3 linked regions of the Rhinolophus ferrumequinum genome follow. The protein of the gene in region 1 purifies or fractionates together with the protein of each later gene. This does not show direct contact. Links are inferred from orthologs where the notes say so. Each region holds a gene or a part of one and is shown in the gene's direction. Other genes may lie near its edges.

Region 1 (7,724 bases):
GTAAAAGGATGCCAAATATTTGTTTTTAAAAAACAACTTTATTGAGGTGTAATTTGCATACCATAAAATTCACCCATTCTTGGTATACAATTAAAACATTTTTAGTAAATTTGCATAGTTGTTTAATCATCATCACAACCCAATTTTAGGACATTTCCATCATCCCAAAGAGACCCTTTATGCGTATTTGCTGTGAGTCTTCATTCCCACTCTCATGCCCAGATAACCACTAATTTACTTTCTGTCTGTATAGATTTGCCTTTTCTGAACATTTCATGTAAACAGAGTCATACAATATATGGCCTTTTGGGGATGGTTTCTTTTCAATGAGCATAATGATTCTGAGTTTCATCTATGTCATAGTATGTACCAGTAGTTCTTCCCTTTTTATTGCTGAGTAGTTTTCTAGTAGGTGGATGTACCATGGTTTTGGTTATCTATTCACCAGTTGATGGACATTTGGATTGTTTCCACTTCGGGCTATTATGAATAATTGCTGCTGTGAATATTCACATACACAAATGTTTGTTTTAATATTACATAAATAATTAATAACCAAATGAGAAAATCGGGAAATTTCATTGCAAAATATTTTAACCCCCAAGTTAAAATTTTATCTTAGACCATATCAGATTGCATTTTTACATTATATTAATTCTTTATGGTCCCTTAAAGGCCTTTACAGACTTGCAATTCAACAATAATCCTGGTGTTTTTAAGGTAATGAAACCTCATATAGTAAAGATTCACACTTAACAATATATTTTCATAGTCATTATTCGAGCCTCACACAATAGTCTCACAACTGTAGGTAGGACAAGTACTATTATTTGTCCCTCATCTGTTGTTCTCAGAGGGAGTCTCCACCTATATTCTGAGGTCATTGCTGCAGGAGCCTCATCCAGACTGTACGTCCAGTTTGTGGTCTACGGTACACACAGGATAGGGCAACATCAGGGACTACTCTTCTATGTGATACAGACCCACATCTGGAGTCTCTGTAGTTTATTCATGCACAGATACTCATGGAGCACCTAGTACGTGCCCGGCTCTATGATGGATGATGGGGGTTGAGATGTGAAAGATTTAACTCTCCAGAAGTTATCCGTAAGAGCTGTATACAAGCACATACCCTATGTTACGGAGCCGTGGGAACCCAGAGCAAGAGTAGGTATGGGGGAGGGGCTGTGGGGGTAGGCAGGACATTACCAGTGTGTTATTGATAATAATATTAGCTAACACCTAGTTAGTAATAATAGCTAATGCCTAGTGCTTACTCTCTCCCAGGCATGTTCCGAGCACTTTGCATACACTTCTCCATTTCATCTTCACAACCACCCAGTGAGGCAGGTCATATTTTTATCCTATTTTACAGATGAAGAAGTTACAAAACTAAGGTTGGTAAGTTGACCAAGGTCACCTTACCAGTAAATGGCAGGTCTGGAATTTGAACCAAGCAATGTGCCTCTAGACTCTGTGTCTCCTGAAGAAGTTTCTCACAGGAGATGACATCCAGCCTGTGTCTTGAGTGACAGTTTGTACTTAGTCTGGCAGGAGATTGGGATATGTCTACATGGTTTTTTAGACAGAGAAATATCATGAGTTAAGGTAAAAAGGAAGCACAGGTTGAGAGCAAGTATGGCAGACTACTTGTGAAGAATGGTGGGTGGCAAGAGATGAGACTAGAAAGATCGGACTGGACAATGAAGGGCCAGATGCCGTCTAAGGAGCTTGGTCCTGTGATCTCATTTTTAATGTTATACCAAAGATACCAGTTTTCTTAGTAATTATTTTCTTTTTCTTGCTTTCATTCTTCTTTATTGTGAAATATATCACAGAACCAGAAAAGTACATAAAATGCAAATGTAAAACTTAATGAATCGTTTTAAAAAACTACCTCTCAGGTCAAGAAATAGGACATTGCTGGGACACTGTAGCCCCTTTTTAGTGACCTTTGCTAGTCATTACCCCTGCCTTCCCACCTACAAGTAACTGCTCTTCTGATTTCTTTCTTTTCTTTCTACTTTTACTACTCATGTGTACCTCTAAACATTATAGTTCGGGCTGATTCTGAACACAGAGTCACATGCTATGAATTTTTTTGTATCTGGTCATTATGTTTGCGAGATTCACCCATGTTGTTGTGGGCTGCTGCTTCATTTTCGGTGCTGTATGGTATTCCATTTTATGAATATGCCAGAATGCATATTTATCTGTTTCACTATTGAGAATACTTGGGTTGTTCCCAGTTAGAAACTATTGTGAATGGTGCTGCTCTGAATATTTTTATACATGTCTTTTGGTGCACATGTCCATGAATTCTGCAGGGTATAAAGCTGGGAGTGTCATTGCTGGATCATGAAGTGTGTTTGTCTTTAACTTTAGAAGAATAATGCCAAACTGTATTCCAAAGTGGATATAACAACTCACACTCACACAAGTGGAGTATCAGAGTTCCTTCTGTTCCGTATCCTCAGCAATATTTGTTATTACCGTGTTTCCCTGAAAATAAGACCTACCTCAAAAATAAGCCCCAGTTAAGATTGTCAGCCAGATGGATGCATTTAGTATGTTCTGACGATGTTCCAGAAGAAGATGACGTGACTGTATTTGGATAAATGTAGACTGTTGTATCTGAAAAACTAAGACGTCCCCTGAAAATACGCCCTAATGCATCTTTTGTAACAAAAATTAATGTAAGACCTGGTCTTATTTTCAGGGAAACATGGTAGCAGACTACCATGTCAGCTAAAATTTGTAGCTATTCTGGCATCATCATGATTTTCTTTTGTATTTTCTTTTGTACTTTCTCACTTACTATTGAGGCTTGACATTTTTTCGGATGTTTATTGGCCATTTAGATTGTGTAGTTTTTTTGTTTGTTTGTTTGTTTGGTAATGTGCCTCATCTAATCTCTTCCCCATTTTCCTATTGAGTTATGTCTTTTGTTTTTAACTTTTAGAACTCTCTGTTATTTCGAATATGAGCCCTTTATTGGTTTTATGTGTTCTACTTTCTCACTTTCTTATGTCTTTTGATGAACAAAAATTCTGAATTTTCATATAGTCATATTTATTTTTTAGTAATAGGTACTTTTTGTGTCCTGTGTAAGAGAGCCCTCCCTACTCCTGTGTTATCTTCAAAAAGCTTTATTATTTATCTTTCACATTTGGGTGTGTAGTTCACCTGAAATTGATTTTTGTATATGTTAATTCCTAATTAACTTGTTAGTACTCCTCTGCCTTCAAAATACTTTTTACATTTTGTCCAGATTTTCTGATTGTCCTCAGCATTAGTTGGTCTGAATTACCTAGTTTACCATTCCCAGAGCAGAAATCTTTCAGAGTTTTAGTTTCACTTTGACTTCAGAATGGTCTGTTCTGTAAAGGGGCCTTAATAAATATGTTTACTACAAAAAACAAAAAAAAAACAACTGAAAAACTATATAGAGTCATGCTTTTTTCTGTTTTTTTTTAATTTAAGAGATCAAAAAAGAAGCTTCTGTTTCATCTGCTTTTCTCAACTATAAAATATTGTTAAGACAAGTGAAAACTTGCTGCATAAAATGAACAATTGTGCTTATTGCATATTAATTTTAGAGAATTAATCATGGTAAAATTTTAAATTAAAAACATCCATTATCAAACATTGACTTTGATGATAAAAACAGTTTAACCATGGGTATAGCCACCTCCCTTTCTCTGTCTGTCCACATAATTAAACCTCCCTTTTGGCCAGAGATGGACTGTATGCAAACCACATCCAGAATGCTTTTAGTTTGTGCCACAAAATATGAAGAAAATGTTTTCATTTTATGGCAACTAGATCCGTGACATATGAAGCTGCAGGAACTGTTTTTACAAGTGCACAAGATGCCCGGGAACGGGGGAGCAGACTCCCATGATTATTGGCAGGAAAAACCTGGCTACGTGGCTGATGTTAAATCTGCTTTTTACGACAGCCAGACCAAGAAATGTCTCCCGTATTGGAGCTGGTAGCAGTGAGATGATTTTTCACTCAGTAAACACAGCCTCGGGAAGCCATGCGAGGCAGTTTCTCGTGAGCCATTTACAGCTTCTAGGAGGAGAGCACAGTGTAGGCGCCACAGAGGAAACCCTGACGTGGCCTTCAGGGAATGTTGCTGGGGGACTTGCTGAGGGAGAGGCTCCTTGTCCCGCTGTCACCAGAACCCCACCTTGCCCTGCCGTTTGTCTCTCTGAGATTCACAATGGAGGTGAGCTAGATTGTAGCTCCAAAATGTTAGGAGTAAGAGTTGCGTACGTGGAAGTTAATGGCTTTCGAACCACACACTTCCTTCCTGCCCAGCCCTTGCTTATTAGATCACAGAACCCATTTTCTTTCTCTTTTAAAATTAATAATTAGCCAAAATTTGGTCTGGGGATCCCTCCCCGTTCCCCAATCCAGACCCTTTCAGGGGGTGTGTGAAGTCACAACTGTTTTATTAGTACTAAGATGATAAGCCTTTTAACTCATTCTCTCATGATTGTGCAGTGGAGTTTTCCAGAGGCTACGTGACATGTGAGACGCAAAGGATTGAATGCAGAAGCAGATCCTAGGGGCCAGCTGTTGTCTCTTAAGCCAGGTAGTAAAGATATCTGCAAAAATGTAAACAGTGGCACTTTTCTCAAAATTTTTATCCTTTAAAATATTTTTAATTTAAAAATGTTTAACATGTAATTGTTTAATATTTTTAAATGAATAGTTACGAATAAATATTTTTAAATTTTCATAGTTTAATTTTTAATGTGGTAAATACTGACAATTAATCCACATGAACAAAAGCTCTTTGGGGTTCTCAGTAATTTTTAAAATTCTGAAGCAGTCCTGAGACCAAAAAGTTTGAGAATCATTGCGTTAACCGCTGTCAGTTCCAGTTGGAATCCCAGTTTCTCTCTGAGGGCTGCATAGCTTGTCTAGCCCACTTTTTCTCTGTGTTCTCTAAATTTCTGTGCCGCACAGCTTCATGCTTGGTTTTTGTGGAATTGTTTGGCGTGCTAGTTTTCTCCTCCTTATCAGTAGTGTAAGACCTCTGAGGACAGGGATATCTTAAGTGAGAGGTTTTTGAGACGTTCATGATATATACTGCTGAGCACAGCATAAACAGTTGGTAATGGTTATTCGTATTATTATTTTCAATATCAATATTAAAATTTCCCAAACTCACTGGTTTATTGTAGAACCGAGACGCAGTTAAAATTTTGTGAACCTTAGTAGAAATAGCTATTTGATTAAAAAAAACTCATTAAATTAATATACAATATGGAAAAAGAATAAAGGGTTTTTGATCATAGATCATCAATAATTGGCTATAAAAGCTGAGCGTGTTAATCTATTTAATTTTTATGTGTCCAACAATGGCAGTAAAACCTGGCCACAGGCTCTTGTTGATGGCCATAGGCCGAGCGTAGTGCTGGGCGCTTAGTAAGCGTTCAGCAAAGCTGTTGAGTAGCTGCTTCTGCCCTTCTTATTACGGCTAGTCCCTGCCATCCCCGCCCCTACCGCCAAGTGACTAGCAGTTGGTTTAGTCTTCAGAAGGTAGCGTGCCTTTCTGGTAAAGAATTGGCAAATTGTCCTGGACTAAGCTAGAGAGCATTAATTAATTGACCAAACTGGGTTAGTAGCTGAAGGTGAGGCACTTGCCTTTGTCTTCACCCCGCTTCAGACTGAGTTTGTTTTTCTCAGGCAACCCTTGCTAAGAAGATGTAAAAATAAATTTAACATCTTTATGCCAGGATCCTGCTATTAGTTCCAAAGTTTGCGCACAGGCTCTCCCTGGAAGTCTGAGGGTCTCACGCAAATACCACACTGGCCTGAGATCCTGGCATTACTTTACCATGGTGTTCTAGAACAGAGCATGGTACCTGGTAGGTGGCTCATTCACTGAATGAATGAATGAATGAATGAATGAATGAATGAATGAATGGAGTCTGTACTGTAGCCCTGGACATACAGTTATAACTTATAAGCAGTGTCCTTATTTGAATAAACCAAGACTATTGCATTGAGTTTACTTTATTTTTTCCCCCAAAGTGTGTTTTTATTCCATAAGAGTTTATGGGGATGTCCTTTGCACTAGCACTGTTTTAAATGATGGTGATACAGTGATAAATCAGGCTCAGAGCCTGTCTTCAGGAAGCTAATAACCTAGTAGTATACACAGCGTACACAAGCCTCGTGGAAATATGTGCCAAGCACAGTTGCTAACTCAGAGGAAGGACCCATCCTGTAGCAAGAGAGAGGAATCAAGAAAGACTTCCTAGAAAAGGTTTCTCTATGCCTGCATCTTGAAGGTTGAAAAAGAATTTGCCTTGTGAGTGGGAAGACAGTCCAGGTGGAAATGGCATGTACAGGGTCAGAGGCACGTGAAACCATGCGGTGCTTAAGGGACACTGACAGCAGTGTGGTTTTGTGAGATGAAGCCGAGAGGTGAACTGGTACGGGGCCTTGTAGACCACACAGTGGGAATGGGACTTTCTCTCGAAGATGGATGAGAGACATTGCAAGGGCAGTGTGGGTTTGCACTTTGTAAAGGTGATTCTCATGGCAGCGGAGGTGGGGTTGGTCTTGAGGGTAAGAAAACAATTTAAAAAACAGTTGGAATAAATCTGATGAGAAACTATTGCAAAACTAAGGCCATGGCAGTAGGAACGGGGAAGAAAATACACACGGAAATATGTGGGGATTAGAATTGATAGAGTTTGGTGAGAAGATGATGCTGGTCATGGTCCCAGATTTTTCTTTTCTTTTTTTTTTTTTTAAAGATTTTATTGGGGAAGGGGAACAGGACTTTTATTGGGGAACAGTGTGTACTTCCAGGACTTTTTTTTTTTTTTTTCCAAGTCAAGTTGTTGTCCTTTCAATCTTAGTTGTGGAGGGCGCAGCTCAGCTCCAGGTCCAGTTGCCAGTTGCTAGTTGCAGGGGGCGCAGCCCACCATCCTGCTGGAAGGAGTCGAACCGGCAACCTTGTGGTTGAGAGGCCACGCTCCAACCAACGGAGCCATCCGGGAGCTCAGCGGCAGCTCAGCTCAAGGTGCCCTGTTCAATCTTAGTTGCAGGGGGCGGAGCCCACCATCCCTTGTGGGACTCGAGGAATCGAACCGGCAACCTTGTGGTCGAGAGCCCACTGGCCCATGTGGGAATCGAACCGGCAGTCTTCAGAGTTAGGAGCATGGAGCTCTAACTGCCTGAGCCACCGGGCCGGTCCCCAGATTTTTCTTTGAGTGAGATGATAGTATAATATTTCCAAGTGAGACAGAAGGAGGATACAGTTTGGGGGAAGGTTATTTTAGTTTTAGTTATGTTATGGGGACCCGTGGGACATGAGGTGGAGAAGTCCCCTGACATTCGTATGTCCCCATACAAAGGCAGTTGTATAGATAGATGGCCTTGAAGATTGTAGGAAAGGTCAACACTGGGGAGAGATTTGGGAGTCATCAAGATACAGGTAGTAGTTAAATCTATAGGAGAGGATAAGGACATGTATATCTAATAAATGGAGAAAGGGGAGGATGAACTCTTGAGGAACATACCAGTAATGAAAGGACAAGCAGAGGAAGACTGTCCATCAAAAGGGACTGGAAAGAAATGGTCTAAGAGGTAGCAAAAGTAACGAATTTTGCCCCTTCTGTCAGGTAAACGGACTAAACATGCTCCCTGTCAGTTTGGGCATCAGAACTAGACTCAATCCTTGAAGCCAGGACTTG
Region 2 (7,579 bases), on another chromosome or scaffold:
AAAGGACTCCTACAACTCAATAATAAAAAAGATAAATTACCCAATTTTAAAAAGGGCAGAGGATTTGAATCAACATTTCTCCAAAGATATACAAATGGCCAATAGGCACATAAATAAATGCTCCATATCATTACTCCTTAAGGAAATACAAACCAAATTCATAATAAGATACCCATTATACACATGAGGATAGCTATAATGTTTTTTTTTTACTCTGAAAATAACAAGTGTTGGCAAACATGTGGAGAAATTAGAACCCTTATATATTGCTGATGGGAATATAAAATAATGCAGCCACTGTGGAAAACAGTTTCTCAAAAAGTTAAACAGAATTAACATATAACACTGAATATCTACTCCTAGGTATAAACCCAAAAGAATTGAAAACTGATGTCCACAAAAGAACTTGAACATGAATGTTCAAAGCAGCAGAATTACAGCCAAAACGTGGTAACAACCCAATGTCCATCATCTGACGAATGGATAAACAATATATGATGTATACATACAATAGAATATTATTCAGCCATAAAAAAGGAATGAAATACTGCTACCTGCTACAACATGGATGAACCTTGAAATCATTATGCTAAGTGAAAGAAACTAGAGACAAAAGGCCATATATTGTGTGATTCCATGTATCTGAGATGTTCAGAACAGGCAAGTCCAGATGCAGAAAGTAAATTAGTGGTTACCAGGGGCTGGGGGGAGGAAGGAATGGAGAATGACTACTAACAGGTACAGGGTTTCTATTTGGAGAGATGAAAAGGTTCTGGAATTAGATAGTAGTGATTATTGCACAACCTTATGAATACACTAAAAACCACTGAATTTTATATTTTAAAAGGGTGAATTTTATCGTATGTGAATTATTTCTCAATTAAAAAATGCAAAATGGCAAGGCTGCCAATGGAGTACGAGCAGACGGGCAGAAATTCCATCTGGATGCCAAGTGACTGAGTTCCTGTCCCCAATGAAAGTCCCGGTCCTCCTCAGCCAGAAGGGGCTCCACTTCAGTTCCCACCTAAGATTCTTGTTTCAATAATGGGTTCCCCAGCTAAACAAGAGTGGAAGCCCCTGGCCCAATTGATCAACTGTAAAGAAGCTCTTTCTCGACTTCTAAGTTCCAGACTTGTGGAAAGTTAGTATGAGGAGAAGCTGAGGAGTCAAACACCGGCAGAGACCAGCAGCCCAGACAAGCATTTTAGTGTCAAAAGCAGCGTGCGGGGCTGGAGCCCTGCCTTCTGGCAGTGTCCACTAGCAAGGCTCTCTCTGGCTCCCTCTGGTCTCAGGAGAGCATTGGCATGTTGGAAAAGTTCAGTTCCATTCATAAACCTTGATGGAGCATGTTCTGGCTCTCACCCCTAGAAAGAGGAGCCAAGTCACTGCCCCCAGGTGGCTCAGGAACAGGATGTGTAAACATGCTCAGTCACTGACAGCTCTGCTCCCTCTCTTGTACTGAGCTAAGATCTTGAGCTCACTGTCCCCCCAAGGGACAGCGTGGCAGCAGCAGGGGAGCAGCTTTTAGCTGTGGAAAAGGAGGGAAGAGAATTAGTCACTATTGGGCACTTCCTCTGTGCCAGAGACAAAGGAACTTGCATATATATGATTTAACTTCCTCCTCACAACATCCTTGAGCAGTATGTGAAGCGACTTGTCCCAGGTGCTTAGAACTAGTATGTTGTGGAACTGGGATTTGAACCCAGGACCACCTAATTTGAAAGTCTGTGCTCTGGAGAAGCTGGAAGTTCACCTAGCCTGGATTGTTTCACTTCCACTGGACCATTTCTAGCTCCCACTGTTTGTACAACTTGCTCATGCATTCACTTATTCATTCCATAAGTTTCCCTGATTGGCATTTGGTGTCAGATAATATGGTAGGCAGTAGAGACACAAACCTGACTACCTGAACAAGGCATAGCCCTGTCCTCAAGGGTTTATAATGTCATGGGAGCCAGGCCTGGACTGAGATATAAGACTAGGAGCTGAGTTAATTATACCACCAAGAGAGGCCCTGTGGTGGTTTGGCCAGATGGCAAGTGGTTTTAATATGACACTGAGAACTCAAGGTTTGGTGCAATCGGGGCAAATATATTGCCAATTCTCTACCCTCCCTCACCCTGTCCTGTAGATGTGTGAGGTGTGGAACAATGAGTAGCCACCATCAGAGAGAGCTGAGGGGGAAGTGGTATTCTGGGGCACAGCTTCTCAGCCACAGCCGGAAGTAGAGGGAGGGCTTGCTGAACAGACTGAGGTTCAGGGGAGTTTATTGACAATAGAACTTTAGTTTGGGAGGGCTCAGTCAGAAGGGTCTTCAGGAAGAGGACAGTGGTTCCTGAGTGGGAGTGAGTTTTCGAATGAGAATGTAGGTGATCAGAGTGGTCAAGAACAACAGGAGTGAGAGACGGAGGGACTGAGTCATTGCAGTCTGACGGAAACTATGGAGTAAATACATTTTCTACTCAGGTTTCCGAAGCTATTTTCAGTACAGGAAACAAGCTATGGTCTCTGCTTAGGGTACCAAATAGAATACGGGGAAACTTTGTTAGGAAGTGAGAGTGGAAAAGTCAACCTCAAACCAGGCTGGGAGCTACCAGCACTGTTTAAATTGTTGGAAGACTTAGCCTGGAGTGGAGAAGAAGGGAGGTGGATGCAAGGTTTAACTCAGAACTTGATCTCTGGTTGGTTTTTCTTATCCTCTTAGCTATAAACCGGTTTGCTCATTTAGTGAATACTTCCTCCCTTTCAAACTGTCAGGCCCCTAATATTGTTTCCAGTTAATACCTGGTTTAACAGAGAAGTGGCATGGTGCTATGGAAAGGAGTCGGAGGATGGTATCAGTAGACTAGAATCTAGTCACTCAATTAAAAGTCCCAATTCATAGCCAGGCAGGGATGGACTCAGCAGGATTAGAATGCAGGATTTAGAATGCCAATTTTTCCATGCATCACTGCCGTGTTATATAAGGCAGAGCCTGACTTCCTTAGCTTCCTCAAGCTTTGGTTTCCTCATCTGTACAGATACTTTCCTTAATGATATCTACCTTATAGGTGGCTATGAAGATTACATGACACGTGACATCTATTATACAGTGTCTGGCCATGGTGTGCCCCTCACATTATCATTACATACAAAGTCATGTCGCTCTATGGCTGCACGTTGTGGGTGCTCAAATCAGTATCTCACTACACAGCCCATTCATATGGGCTGAATTGTGTCCCCCTCAAAATCCGTATGTTGAAACCCTAACCCCCAGTAGCGTAGAATGTGACTATATTGGGAGGTAAGGTCTTTAAAGAGATACGTTAAAACAAAGTTTGGAAGGTAGGACCTAATCCATTATGACTGGTGCCATTCATTATAAGAAGAAGAAATGTGGACACAGACGTGTACAGAGGGAAACACATGTGAAAACACAGGGAGAAGGTGGTCATCTACAAAGAAAGAACTCAGAAGGAACCAATCCTTGATCTTGGATGTCTCCAGAACTGTGAGAAAATAAATTTTCCTTGTACTGGCAGCACTAGCAAATACAACACATACATATACATTGTACCTTTTTAACTGGTGGGCCGAGAGCTCCCTCATTCTGCTGACTAGCAACTGCGTCTTGGCCTGTACTCGTCTGTTCTCCAACTCAAAGTCCCAACTAAAAGCTCCAAGGATGCTAGGCTGACCATGATGCCAAGGACGCTGCCCCCTTAGCTCTTGGTTGCTAAAGTGAAGTCACCCGAGACAGCAAGACTTTTTTCTTTTGAAGTGACTGGTGACTTGCTGACCAGAGTTGCTTGTCATAGGACAAGCCAGAGAACGCATCATTCATTCATCATGGCCCGTTCCCAAGGTGCTTTCTGGCTGCATGTGGAGGGAAGGGCAACTGGGTATGCGGTGCTGGATGAAGAAATGAAGGAAAAGTGCTGTGGTGACTGTGATGTTCTCTGTCCCAGGACAGTGGAGAAAGAGGAGACTGACAGAATAGAAAGAAGTGGTCTGGGGTGGGAGGAAGGAGGACAGGTACCTGATGTGAATCTCAGGACACTTTCCACCGACAAGTGGAGACTGTGCCTGCATTTCAGCGGGGTCTGGAATCCCGATCTTTGGCGCTGCACTGTGTGTCAGGCTCTGGGAGGATTGCAATAGCCCCCCAAAAGCCGTATGTCCGGGATGGCCGCCCTGGGCAGACAGGGCACTGTGGGCGGGCGCGCGCACACCCGACACGTCCTCGGGGCACTGCCCCCTCCGGGCGCGCGCCCGACCAGCCCCACCCCTGCCCCTTGCCCCTCGCAGGGCTCGGTAGACCCGGCGCCCGGGGCCGCGCACGCCCCCTCCGCGATCCGGTACCCCGAGCCGCGCGCGCCCTGCGCCCCGTCCCCGCCCGCCGGGAGCGCGCGCTAGCTCCCGCTCCCGCTGGCAGCGGCGGCGGCGGGGATTGTTTTTGTTGTCGCTGAGGCCGGAAGAGCCGCGGGAGTCGGGTCCCTGTCCGCGGGCCGGGCGCCGCCGCCGCCCCCTGCCCAGCGCCCGCGTCTCCGCGGCGCTCCTCCCCGCCCAGCGCCAAGATTCCGGAGATCAAGCGTTACGCGGCGGCGGCGGCGGCGGCGGCGGCGGGGCCCGGAGCGGGAGGCGCCGGGGACCGGGGCGAGGCGGCCCCCGCCGCCGCCATGGAGGCGCTGGGACCCGGTGAGGAGCGCGCTCGGGCCGGGGTCGGAATCGGGCCCCGGGACGGGTGGGTGGGCAGGCGGGACCGTCGCTCCTCGTCGCCCCCATCGGCTCGCACATAACCCGGGTTCCGGCCGTCAGGCCCGGGGGAAGGAACCCGTGTCCCATTGCACAAGGCGGAGGGAGCTGACCCGGGGGCGGGGACCGCGCCCCAGCCTGGAGAGAAGAGCCAGATCTCAAGGTCTAAGAGAGGGAGGCCGAGGAAGGTGGCCGCGTCCTCAGGTAGAGGGGAGACCGGACCCAACCTCACAGAGGTGTTCTGTGCTCCAGGGTTGAGGCGAGGCCAGTTTGGGCCTCAGAAGGGACTATCTGTGCCAGGTGCGCTGTAGAGGCTTGGCCTGGACCAGACAGGGAACGTCCCCCACCTACTACCAGGGGTATTCTTGATTTGGGGCCTCAGCCCTAGTTTTTAAATTTATTTTTTATTTTTGCACTGGGAGACGGTCCAGGGCCCTCAGATAAGGAAGGAGAACTTCCCCCAAACACTTCTGATGAACCCCGAAGATCAAGGGGCAAAGTACCCACCTTTTCTGGAAGGCCCTGAAGTCTCGGGGAATATGGTCCTTTTCTTCTGTCAGTCTGTGTGACAGTCCTAGAGTTGTCTGGGCTAGCGCCGTAGTGACAGGCGAGTTAGCAGCCAGCCAGCCAGCCGTCGCTAGCACAGGCTTTAATGCCCTAAGTTCTCTTCTAATTGGGTTATGAGTGGTTCTCCAGGATCAAATGAAGGAGAAAGTGCTTTGGAAAGTGTAATTGCCCATCTTTGTGAATCACCTCTGGTTATCTCCCCAACTCTGCCCAAACCAGAGAAACCATTCCAGGTTGTAACAAGTGCCCTGCTGATTGGAGCCTGGTGCTCCCACCTCCAACCCCAACAGGTTTGTAATGCCTAGCTAAGTAGGGCAGGGTTTATGGGCTGTGGTAGAATTAACTTTACTATCAAATCTTATCTACGTAGGGAACCTCGTGGTAGAGCATTGCATTTTCTTTAGTGCATAGAAAATTCACTTTACCATTTGAGTTTGGAAACTTTGCAGGTTTGTTTACTTACAACTTGTTCACCTCACTGAGTGATTAAATCCCACCTTAATTTGCTGCTTAAACTATTTTTTTAAAGGCCCTCATAATCAAATTTCATATGCCTTTTAAAAATAAATTGGTTTTGTCACACTACTATGATTTGATAAACCTCAGTGTGAGTATTATGCTGGGTTACTTCAGCTATGGCCCCTGGCTAAAGGGATGATCAAGTCTTTAGGAATGTAACAGACTTCTATTCAAATCCAATCTAGCAATTTAATAGTTGTATAACCTTGGGCAAATTACTTAATTCCTTTGAACTTTCATTTCCTCATCTATAAAATGAAGGTAATAATCATTATGTGCTGCAAGATTGTTGTGAGAATGAAATGCGATGATGTATGTGTGTATGTGAGTTTTATTGTAGAGACTAATACATTATAGATACTCAACAAATGTTTCTTCCCTCCCTCCCCTGTTCATAACTCATAATTGAAGCAACTGTTGCATTTATGAGCTCGTATTGAAAGAGACTATATAACTGTGTGTACAAACTGAATTTCATGGAAAAGATCAACTTGGTAGCGTTAGAAATGTCCCAAGGACTCTTTTTGGTTTGATTTTAGCTTTTGCAGATTTGAGGACTTATCAGTTCACCCAGGACCGTGGAAAATTAATTTTCACCACATTTATAAGATGCTAATGCATAAAACAAAATGTCACATAGATGTTTTCTGTTGACTGCAATATTTTCTTGTCTGCTCTCTAACAAACTGCTTTTTTGGTGTCACAGTACCTTGGAAACCCAATTAATAACAAGAAGCTGCTTGCCAACCGTAGAATCAGAGCAAAGGGAGTTGGTAGTCTTGTGGGATATTTCACACAGGTTGTTTTAGAACCTAGAGAAGCTTTCCTGCTTCTTTGTTAAAGCGCACCGATCTAGTACTTTGTGCCCTCCTCACTTGAACAATCATTGAAACATTCTTAGTCTTGCTCTGCTCTCCCTTACCTCATTTTGATTTCTGACAATAATATATTGGAATTATATTTAATTAGAATACCATCTATTTTGGTTATGTTGGCAATAACTTATTTTTACCGTGCTTTACAGTTTGAAAAGTGCTTTCATAGCTCATCTGATCTTCTGTGAAGTAAGCAAGGCAGGTATTATCCCCATTTTACAGATGAGTAAAGGGGTGCAGAAAGCTTGAGTGATTTCATTAAGGTCTTGAGGCTGTATGGTAAAATGAGGATGAGTCTGGGTCCTCTGACTTATAGTCTAATGCCCTCCTTTTCATTTACGGCTAACTTCTTCCAATCTATGTTGAGTCATACTTTTCTGACTGGAAGGTATAAATTTCTGACTTTGTCACCAAGTTTTGGAGATTCCCCCAATATAAAGCCCAGGGATCTTTGAGCACTATAACATTTATGCAAATGCAATCATAGTAGCTAACTAACATCTATTGAGCACTTACTATCACGAGGCACTGTGTTAAGCCTTTTATATACATTATGTCATGGGATCCTCACAATAGCCTTAAGAAATAGATGCTATTATTACCATATACCCCCATTTTATAGATAAGAAAACTGAGGCACAGAGAGGCTAAGGAACTGGCCCTAGGTCATTCAGTTAGGAAATGGTAAACCAGGATTAAAACCCAGGCAGTATGGCTCCAGAGCTTAAGCCACTGTGCTTTATTTCTTTGTAAGAAGTTTACTAAACTCAAAGAAACCAGCTTTTGGGATGGAAAATTTTAGAACTTAGTTTTCTAAATAAATCTTCTAAACGTATTAAAAGAAAATCACTTTCTGACTTTTCTTTCTTGCCAAGGAAAAGAAA
Region 3 (8,059 bases), on another chromosome or scaffold:
TTACCATCATTTCTCACTTTCACCCCAACTTGGAAGTTCTATGGCTTTTGTACCTTAAGCTGATGGTACAGTTGTCAAGCATGTAAGTTGTGGCATTCCTCCCTGCTAGTGCTAGCGTTGTTGTTCTATGGGAAGATTGCTCAGAGGAGGATTCTGGCACAGGGCCCAGTGAGAAATTTTCAGTGGCAGCTATTATGTACATAAGTGGGCCCTAACATTCCCCTGGAGGCCAAGTGTTGTGACTCTTCAAATTGCAGAGCTAACCTGTGGCTACCACCTGACAAATTCCCTTGGGAGCAAGCCAGCCAGACTGCATGCTCCTTTTTAGAAGTGAGGGTGAGTGGGCTTGGTTGTACTTTAAATGCAAATTGGAACATGGGGGAGATTTTTCCCAATTGAAATAAGACTTAAAATAAATTTATGACCCTTAGTAAAGCAGAAGTAGTTAGCAGAGCAAGGAGGAGGATGATCATTACGGCCCTTTTTTTCTTTTGCCATACATTTCAATTTTATTAATGATTGATGTTAAAAAAGGTTTCACGATTTGCCTGTTGGTTGCTGCTCAAGAGAAAAAGATGATGGGAGCCCAAGGCCTGATTTGTCTGGTCCTGGAGCCTAAGGTATTAAGTTAAGGGTTGTCCTAGCACCCTGGATATCCCTTTGCAGTATTGGTGGGGCAGCCTTCCCTCTGCCCTGTCATTCAGCAACATGTATTGTAGCACGTTTTTATCTAGCAAGTGGCTTGGAGCAGAGTGAGAGTGGGTATTTGTTGGATATCTCTTGGCTTAGCAGACCCCGAATCTCGTGGCAGTTAGGGTTTGAGGGCTAAAGGAAAGGGTTACAGTACAAAGAGAAGACTATTTTCAAGTTCTGAGTCTGGGCAATTTCCAGACTGTTGCATGTACTGTTTGAATGGCAAGTCGCATTGAATTGTCGCAAATAGCTCTCCCTGTTTCTAGCTTTCAAGACATTTATTCCTCTGGCTATCAGCTGAGGAAACCTGGCAAGCTTAGAAATGCAGAGCATGAGAGAGGCACTCCTGTAAAGCAGCTATGTCAAGGAGTAGCTGGAAAAGTGGACTTGCTGGGGACAAGGTACATTTTAGAAGTTCTTCACTTGAGCACCATGACTATCTTCCCCAGGATGCCATATCGAGGTTTTTTAGGCCAGCGTGGCTTGCCCTGCAGGAACACATTGTCCTCTGCTCTGGACTGCAGCAGCTTCACCACTATCTTCTTGGCGGTGTCCTTTTGGGACAGAAATCTGAGGGACCTTTCTAAGGAGCCCTCCATCCCTCGTCCCCACCTATTGAAGGCAAGTAACTTTCTTAAAGGAGGCAGTAGGAGATCCCAGCCAGTTTTTTTGAAAAAGCTTATGGATTGTTAATGGAAGTGAACTGAAAAAGGAGGCTTGGGAACTTTGAAGTATTTGGCTAGGTGTTTTGTACAGTATCTGTTTATCTTATTTAATTGCATCAGCACAGCATTCATGTGGAGTGATTTATCAATTACCTTCAGTTGCATATAACAAAACTCCCATTAAGTTGGCTTAAATAAGGAAACTAGTACATGACAAGATGTCCGGATTTAATATGGCCCCAAGGTTGATTAATTCAGTGGCTCAATGATAAAACCAACAAACCAGGTTCTTGCAGTCTTTTTGTTCTGCTATCCTCTATGTTGGTTTACCCTCATGCTAGTTCACCTAAGGGTCCCAGATGGCTTCCATAATTCCAGGAAGGAAATGCGGACAAAACAGTGTCTTGCAGAAGAGGGACTAAGTTTTTCCAATGTTTCATGTAAAGTAAGAAAATCCTTGGAAGCCCCAGCTGATCTGGCATAATGTCTCATTTGCTAGAACTGGGTCATCTTCCCACTCCTGTCATTGGCAAAGCAAATAAGATCATCCATCATGAGTGGCTTAATTAGGAGTTACCTCTAACTTGTGTGGCTTAGAAAGAAAGGCAAATCATGTCTGTTAGACAAGAAAGAAGGGCTGTTGGGTAGGTATCCAGCAGTGTCTGCTCTACTCAAGTCCTCTGGTTTTTACAGAGGAGGAATATGAGGCTCAGAGTGACTTTCCTAGGATCACAGATAGTAGCAGAGGGCCTGCAGTCTCAGCTCTGAGTGTCCCTAAAGCCAGTATGTTTTATACTGTGTCCTGCTGCAGTACAAAGTACAGCAGACCCTTGAACAACACAGGTTTGAACTTTGTAGGTCCACTTATGTGCGGATTTTTTTCAATACATATACAGTCGGCCCTGTGTATCCCCCCAGGTTTTACGTCCGTGGATCCAACCAGCTGTGGACCAAAAACAGTATTTTCAGTCCCTGGTTCAGAGTCCATGGATGTGGAAAGCACACTACATGTTCTACACCATTTTATATAAGGGACTTGCGCATCCTTGGATTTTGGTGTCCACAGGGTCCTGGAGCCAATCACTCCAGGTCCTGAAGGATATCTCTAGTTAAGTTTTTGAGGAGCTAAAAGTCATACATAGGTTCTCAACTCCCTGGGAGTCAGCACCCCTAACCTCCGTGTTGTTCAGGGGTCAACTCTAGCTTTCTGCTGTTTAAAAACTGGTCTAGGAGAAGAGATTTGAACCCAAGTGTCAAGTCCACTACAGCTCATGGGAGAGGAGAGGATTCTCTCCAGTTGTTCTCATCCAGAAATGATGTGTGTAGCACAGAAAGCCTAGGGATGCACCTTTCAGCAAGCATTGATTTCCTTTCCCCTGAGATTTCTCTATTTTGTAGTTCTCCCTTCTGAGAGCAACCAGTGCCACGTCAGATGAGGGCAGAGTTTTAGCCTGCTTCCTGAGCCCCATTCTTGAAGCCCACTCATTTATTCATGCATCCCACAAGTATTTACAGAATGTCGATATGTGCCAGGCACTGGCACTGTTGTAGGCACGGGCTATGACAGTTAACAAGATGCACAATGGCACTGTTCTATGCCCTTAAGAACAGACTCCTTTGGGAATGAGGGTATTCAAAACTAGTGTGTGCACGTGGTCAGGGGAAAGCCTCATACAACTTTGCTTTTGGCAGAATCATTCAAACGTTTTTTGCCTTCCCACTTCCTGATACTATAATTCATGAACCTTTCACTTGGGCCTGTTCTGAAGAGGTGGGGGTCCCTGGATAGCAGAAGTAGGTGGGAAGGCATCATTGACATTTATTAAACTGGATCTAATTAGAAAGTCCAAATCCTGCTTCATCAATGTCAGCAAAGAAGACAGTGGCCCACCTCCAGGGTTCATCACCGTCAACATGTTTATTCTGGGAGATGCCGAAGAAGCCTGCAGTCACTTGAGGAACCAGTTCTAGAATTGGGGGTTGAAGGTGTGCTAGACCTTTGCACAACAGTTGGTATTTACCCTGTCAGATGCTGCTATAGATTTGGATTTGTCTAGTCAAGGATTGAAAATAACTTTGAAGATACAGTGTTTCATCTGGTGACATTTAATTTGATATTTTAAAATTGGGGAGGGCATTTTCAGTAAATGGGTTATGGATGGGAAGGAAAAAGAGAGAAAGAAGTGGTATCAGATGTGGGTTTGAATCCCACCCATTTATGAAGTGTTTACAGTATGTGTATCTAGTAAGTGCTTTAAAATGGTAAATACAGTAAATACTTTTTTATTCACTAACATTTAGGGAGGGTTTTCTGTGCTTTATGCACATTCCCTAATCTCACAACTACTATAAGGTACATATTCTCTCCAGTTTTCAGAAGAGGAACCTGAAGCCAGGAGGCTCAAGTGATTGATCCAAAGTCCCAGTGATTGAAGGGGGGGGAAGGGGATGATTTAAGATAGGATACTTTCTCTCCTTTTCCTCTTTGTCCCAGCTTTTAAAAAAAGAATGTACTTTGATTTTTTAAAGTCTAAACAACATTACTACTGATGGTTAGGAACATAGGGAAAAGTCATGAATCATTCAGCCTGAGTAAAATAGTATCACCTTTCATTAAAGGAAACAAATATTAAGGACCTACTATTTGCCAGTTAATGTGCTTGTCCTAGTAACCTAATCTTACATACTATTGGTAGAGGGGGCACACAATAAACTAGTAAAAACAAATTACAGATTAGAACAGGATTATTAAGGAAATACTGTAATAGAAAAACGGGTGCCCTCCCATAGCCGAAAAAGCCTAAGTCTTAAATTGAGGTGTAAAAAGGAGGGGCGGGGTGGAGAGAAAGAAGAGGGTTCCTTGCCGAGGGAACTGAAAGCTGAGAGACTCCCAATAGCAAAAAGAAGCGCTTTGCCCGTTGGGGGAGTTAGACCAGCATAGCTGTAGCATAGTGAAGTCTTGCTTGAAGAGAAAAGCTGGGCCCCCGTCACACAGTGCGTTTGGGCCCTGGAGAGGAGTTTGGGTCTTAGTGTGACGAGACACTATTAAAGAGTTTTAAACATGGAAATTATTCGATCTGATGTTTGTGTAATGTCCTGGTTCTTAATCTTCTCCCAAGCTAAATTGTACATTTTACCCCCCAAATCGTCGTCAAAGAAACCCTGCGGACTTGGAGTGATCCACTGTAGTGGTTACTTGACCAACTAGTTGAGGAGGAGGCGCGTGGGGTCGCCCCAACTGGGCGTGGAGGGAGAGGCTCGGGAAGGAGGGTGGCCCTGCACCTTGACCAGCCTCGCTCCAGGTAGCTCCTCCCCAGGTAAGCGACACCGCCCTCCGCGACGTCGCAGGCAGGCAGGGCTCCGCACCAGGGTGGCCCGAGGAGCCCAGCCCCGCCGGGTCGTCTCCAGCCGGCACAGCCCAGCGGAGGCTCCGCCCCGCCCCGCTGCGCGTGCCCCAAGCTCCGCCCACGCTAGTCGCCCTCTCCCCACACCTCCCCTGCGTCCCCCGCGCCGGCCGCGTCCGCACCGACGTCGCGCCCGCACGGCTTGGGACGGAGAGGCGAGGCTTGGACGTCCGGCGAGCCGGGGCAGCGGAACTGACGCCAGCGGGCTTCCGGGGACGGCCCCGGGGGAGGTCGGCCGCGGCGCCGCAGTCGTGGAGGGGCAGCCCGAGCGTCAGCGGCCGCGGGCGACGCAAGTTCCGCACCGCGCTCCCCTCTCCTCGCCTCACGCTTCTCCTTCCTCTCGCCTAGTGGCGTGCTGCCTCCCGACGGCGGCTCTTCCTGACGAGAGCTTTCGGAGCGCGCTCGCTGAGAGGAAGCGGTCGCCACCCCGCCTCGGGGCCGAGTGAGAGTGCCTGTCGCGCCGCGTCGCCCCCTTCGCCGCCTCCTTGCCCCCCAGTGGCGGGCGCCCTTCTCGCTGGAAGCACTCCCCCCAGCTCCATGAATGGAAATCGGCTCCGCAGGTGAGTGTGTCCCATGCTGGCCCGGTCGGTGGGGGTGTCCCCAGAGCATCGTCGCTCCCTCAGCCTCGGCCCCGTCGCGCGAGGTGAGCGCCGTCCGGGCGGCTCCCCCTCGCCGACCCCCGCTCGGCCCCTCCTCCGCCTTCCCGCAGCCCCGCCGCAGTTCCCGGGAGCCACTGAATTGGCGACCCGGCGGGGAGGGGACACTGCTGAGAGGATTGAAGTTTGGGGTTCTCTAGTCGATAGTGCTCTTCTTTTCCTGGGGTCTAGAAGGGTTTGCCATCGCTTTTGTTATTCCGGTTGGAGGTGTAACGGTGTGCGTGTCCTTTTAACTGGGTTGTGTGTCCCGTAGAGGCGCTGGGCAGGTAGCTCTCTCCCTTTCTTACCTCTGAAGGTAGTTGTGAAGATAACTGTGAGATAACAGATGAGGATTAAGTTTGAAATAGGTTTTAGTGCAACGTCAAATGCAAGATGACATTTCTCCCATCCCCGAGTTCTCTTCTGATGTTTGTAGCAGCGTGTTATGTAGTTCCTGAGGATCTTGGAAATGTCATATCAGCCTGGATCTCTGCTTATGTGAGGAGGTGGATCTTAAAATTGCTGACAGTATATTCTTTCATTCTCTATTCCCTAGAGGTTCGGTTGTCATATTCCTGGAAATTTGGAATGAAGAAAACTTTCTCTCCTTGTAAAAGGGTAGCCTTGAGAAAAAAATCGCAACTTGGACAGTACTTATTTGAAAGGAAAAAGAGCACTATGGTTCTAAAGTAATTAATTGAGGGACATAAAGTAGATGTTACATAACGGCTTGTTTTCCAAAGGAGCATTCATACTTGGTGTGTTAAATTTGAAAGTATGTTTCATCCAGTCACAGATTTATAAATTAATTTTCAAAATATTGGTGGTGGTGGTGGGCGTATTGTGACTAATGGTATCCCAAGTCCCTGAATTTCACATCATAGTTTGCTAGTTTGGGAGATATCTGAATATGAGATAAGAAAAACTTATGTAAAAGAAACCAGTGACATAATGATAAAGAATTTGTTAATTAGGTTAAGGAGTATAATTTTCAAGTAGATGCAGAAGCACTCAAATTATAGAGGTTGCGACAGGGTGAGAGGTTTATTACAAGTTTTATTATATGGAATTTTTAACTTTCTACTATACTCTTTACGGAATGTGATGATTTGGGGTTATAGGTGATTTTTATATAACTGTCCTGTTGTCAAGCCTGGAAAACAAAACATGAAAGTTAAACACTTTATTAATCATTCTAAAACTTTTAAAGATATGTCAAAAAAAAATTTTGAAGCTTTTTTTCCTTTGTCTTCTTTGGTTTTTTTACATGAAATTATGCCCAAATATATAGACATCTTAGAAAATTCTTCCGAAGTCAAACCACCTAACCAACTGATCCAGCTAGCCAAGTATGATTCAGTAAACGCTCCTGTGAATTCTTGAGCTAAGAATTGGACATCTTGAAATGCAGTTTATTATTCAGTGTAGTTTATACATAAGTGACTCTAATCTAATAAGGAAGATAAAGTACAATTTAGCTCAAGTTTGTCATCATTAAAAACAAAGTTTTCGTTTTTCCTGAAACTTATATGCAATTGTTAAATTACACATGAAATTGAAAGCATTGTTGGGAAAAATGTGCAACTAAGTTTTAAATAAAGAATTTGACAAGTACATACTCTGGTTTAAAAATTTTAGATGTAAATGTTCTCTACTAGGCTATTAAGTCAGTGTTGGATCTTGGCTCTCCAATTCTGTTCCAAGTTTTTCTTTTGTGTGGAGATTCTTAGAAATCATCTTATGACAGGATATTTTAAAATCTAGTCCTTAGGTGGATACATAGAAAACTTAAATTTATTTATATTAGAGGACTTTGAATACAAATACTGTAGTTTCTTGGTGAATCATCCCTCACTAAAAGTTATTTATCTGTTCTTCCCTTTTGCATGAAATATTTTAAGTGATTTTTAAGGGTGTCCTGTTCAATCTACTGATCTAGTGCTGTGTGAACTTTGATTTAACCCAAAAAGCTGCCACAATTGGTTTGTAAATAATAACAGTGTAGCATCTGTGCTTATGACTCCTTAGAGGAACTTCTGCTGAAACCCTATTTTTTATGGTTTAATTACAGCTGGGCTAAAAGTATATGTTATGTTTTAGTTCCAAATAGAGCGGGAATAGAGGAAGCAGAAATGTTCATTGAGATATCACTTCTCCAGAGTAGCTATTTTTTAGGACCTTAACTATTCTAGTCTGTATTTTTAGGTAAAGTCAGACTACTGTTTAGGGCAGACAGAATTGTACCTACCTTCCAATGGAAGAAAAACATTTACCTTACATTACTGTGCAAATAGATTTGACAGGTTTGGTAGTTGTCTTATACAATGTTGCAAAAGTGAATAGACTATGTTTCTGTCTTAGTTATACTTTGTGTTTGGATACTCTGCATTCTTGAACAATAAATATCAAGAAAAGTCATTTGAGAACAAGTTCCAAAAGAACAAAAATTTCATGTATGGAAGCTAGATTTAAATGAGGTAGAAAAAAGTGGGTTCAAAATACTAAAACAAATATAAGGCCATTAGGTTCTCAGTTGAATACTTAAACAATCTTTAATCACTTTGGAGAATGTTTTTATGATATAAATTTTTTCACTTGCATTTTTTTTGTCTTGGAAAAAAAAGTCAAACTGCTGCTCTGTCTGGAGGGCATTAATTTTGAA

What was found. Proteins that work in one complex are often made in the same cells at the same time.
Region 2: the proteins of TNRC6B (region 1) and AGO4 purify together in Homo sapiens (co-immunoprecipitation; 3 studies listed by BioGRID and IntAct, with this or other methods). This does not show direct contact. The link is inferred for Rhinolophus ferrumequinum from reciprocal best matches to the Homo sapiens genes TNRC6B and AGO4.
Region 3: the proteins of TNRC6B (region 1) and AGO3 purify together in Homo sapiens (affinity purification with mass spectrometry; 6 studies listed by BioGRID and IntAct, with this or other methods). This does not show direct contact. The link is inferred for Rhinolophus ferrumequinum from reciprocal best matches to the Homo sapiens genes TNRC6B and AGO3.

The regions. Positions count from the first base shown.
Region 1 is NC_046293.1:7,522,683-7,530,406, reverse strand, and holds the start of TNRC6B (trinucleotide repeat-containing gene 6B protein), read left to right. Parts: upstream 1-4,545; 5' UTR 4,546-4,558; coding exon 4,559-4,603; intron 4,604-7,724.
Region 2 is NC_046292.1:24,850,169-24,857,747, forward strand, and holds the start of AGO4 (protein argonaute-4), read left to right. Parts: upstream 1-4,461; 5' UTR 4,462-4,658; coding exon 4,659-4,677; intron 4,678-7,579.
Region 3 is NC_046292.1:24,945,046-24,953,104, forward strand, and holds the start of AGO3 (protein argonaute-3), read left to right. Parts: upstream 1-4,941; 5' UTR 4,942-5,299; coding exon of another isoform or gene 5,300-5,303; coding exon 5,304-5,322; intron 5,323-8,059.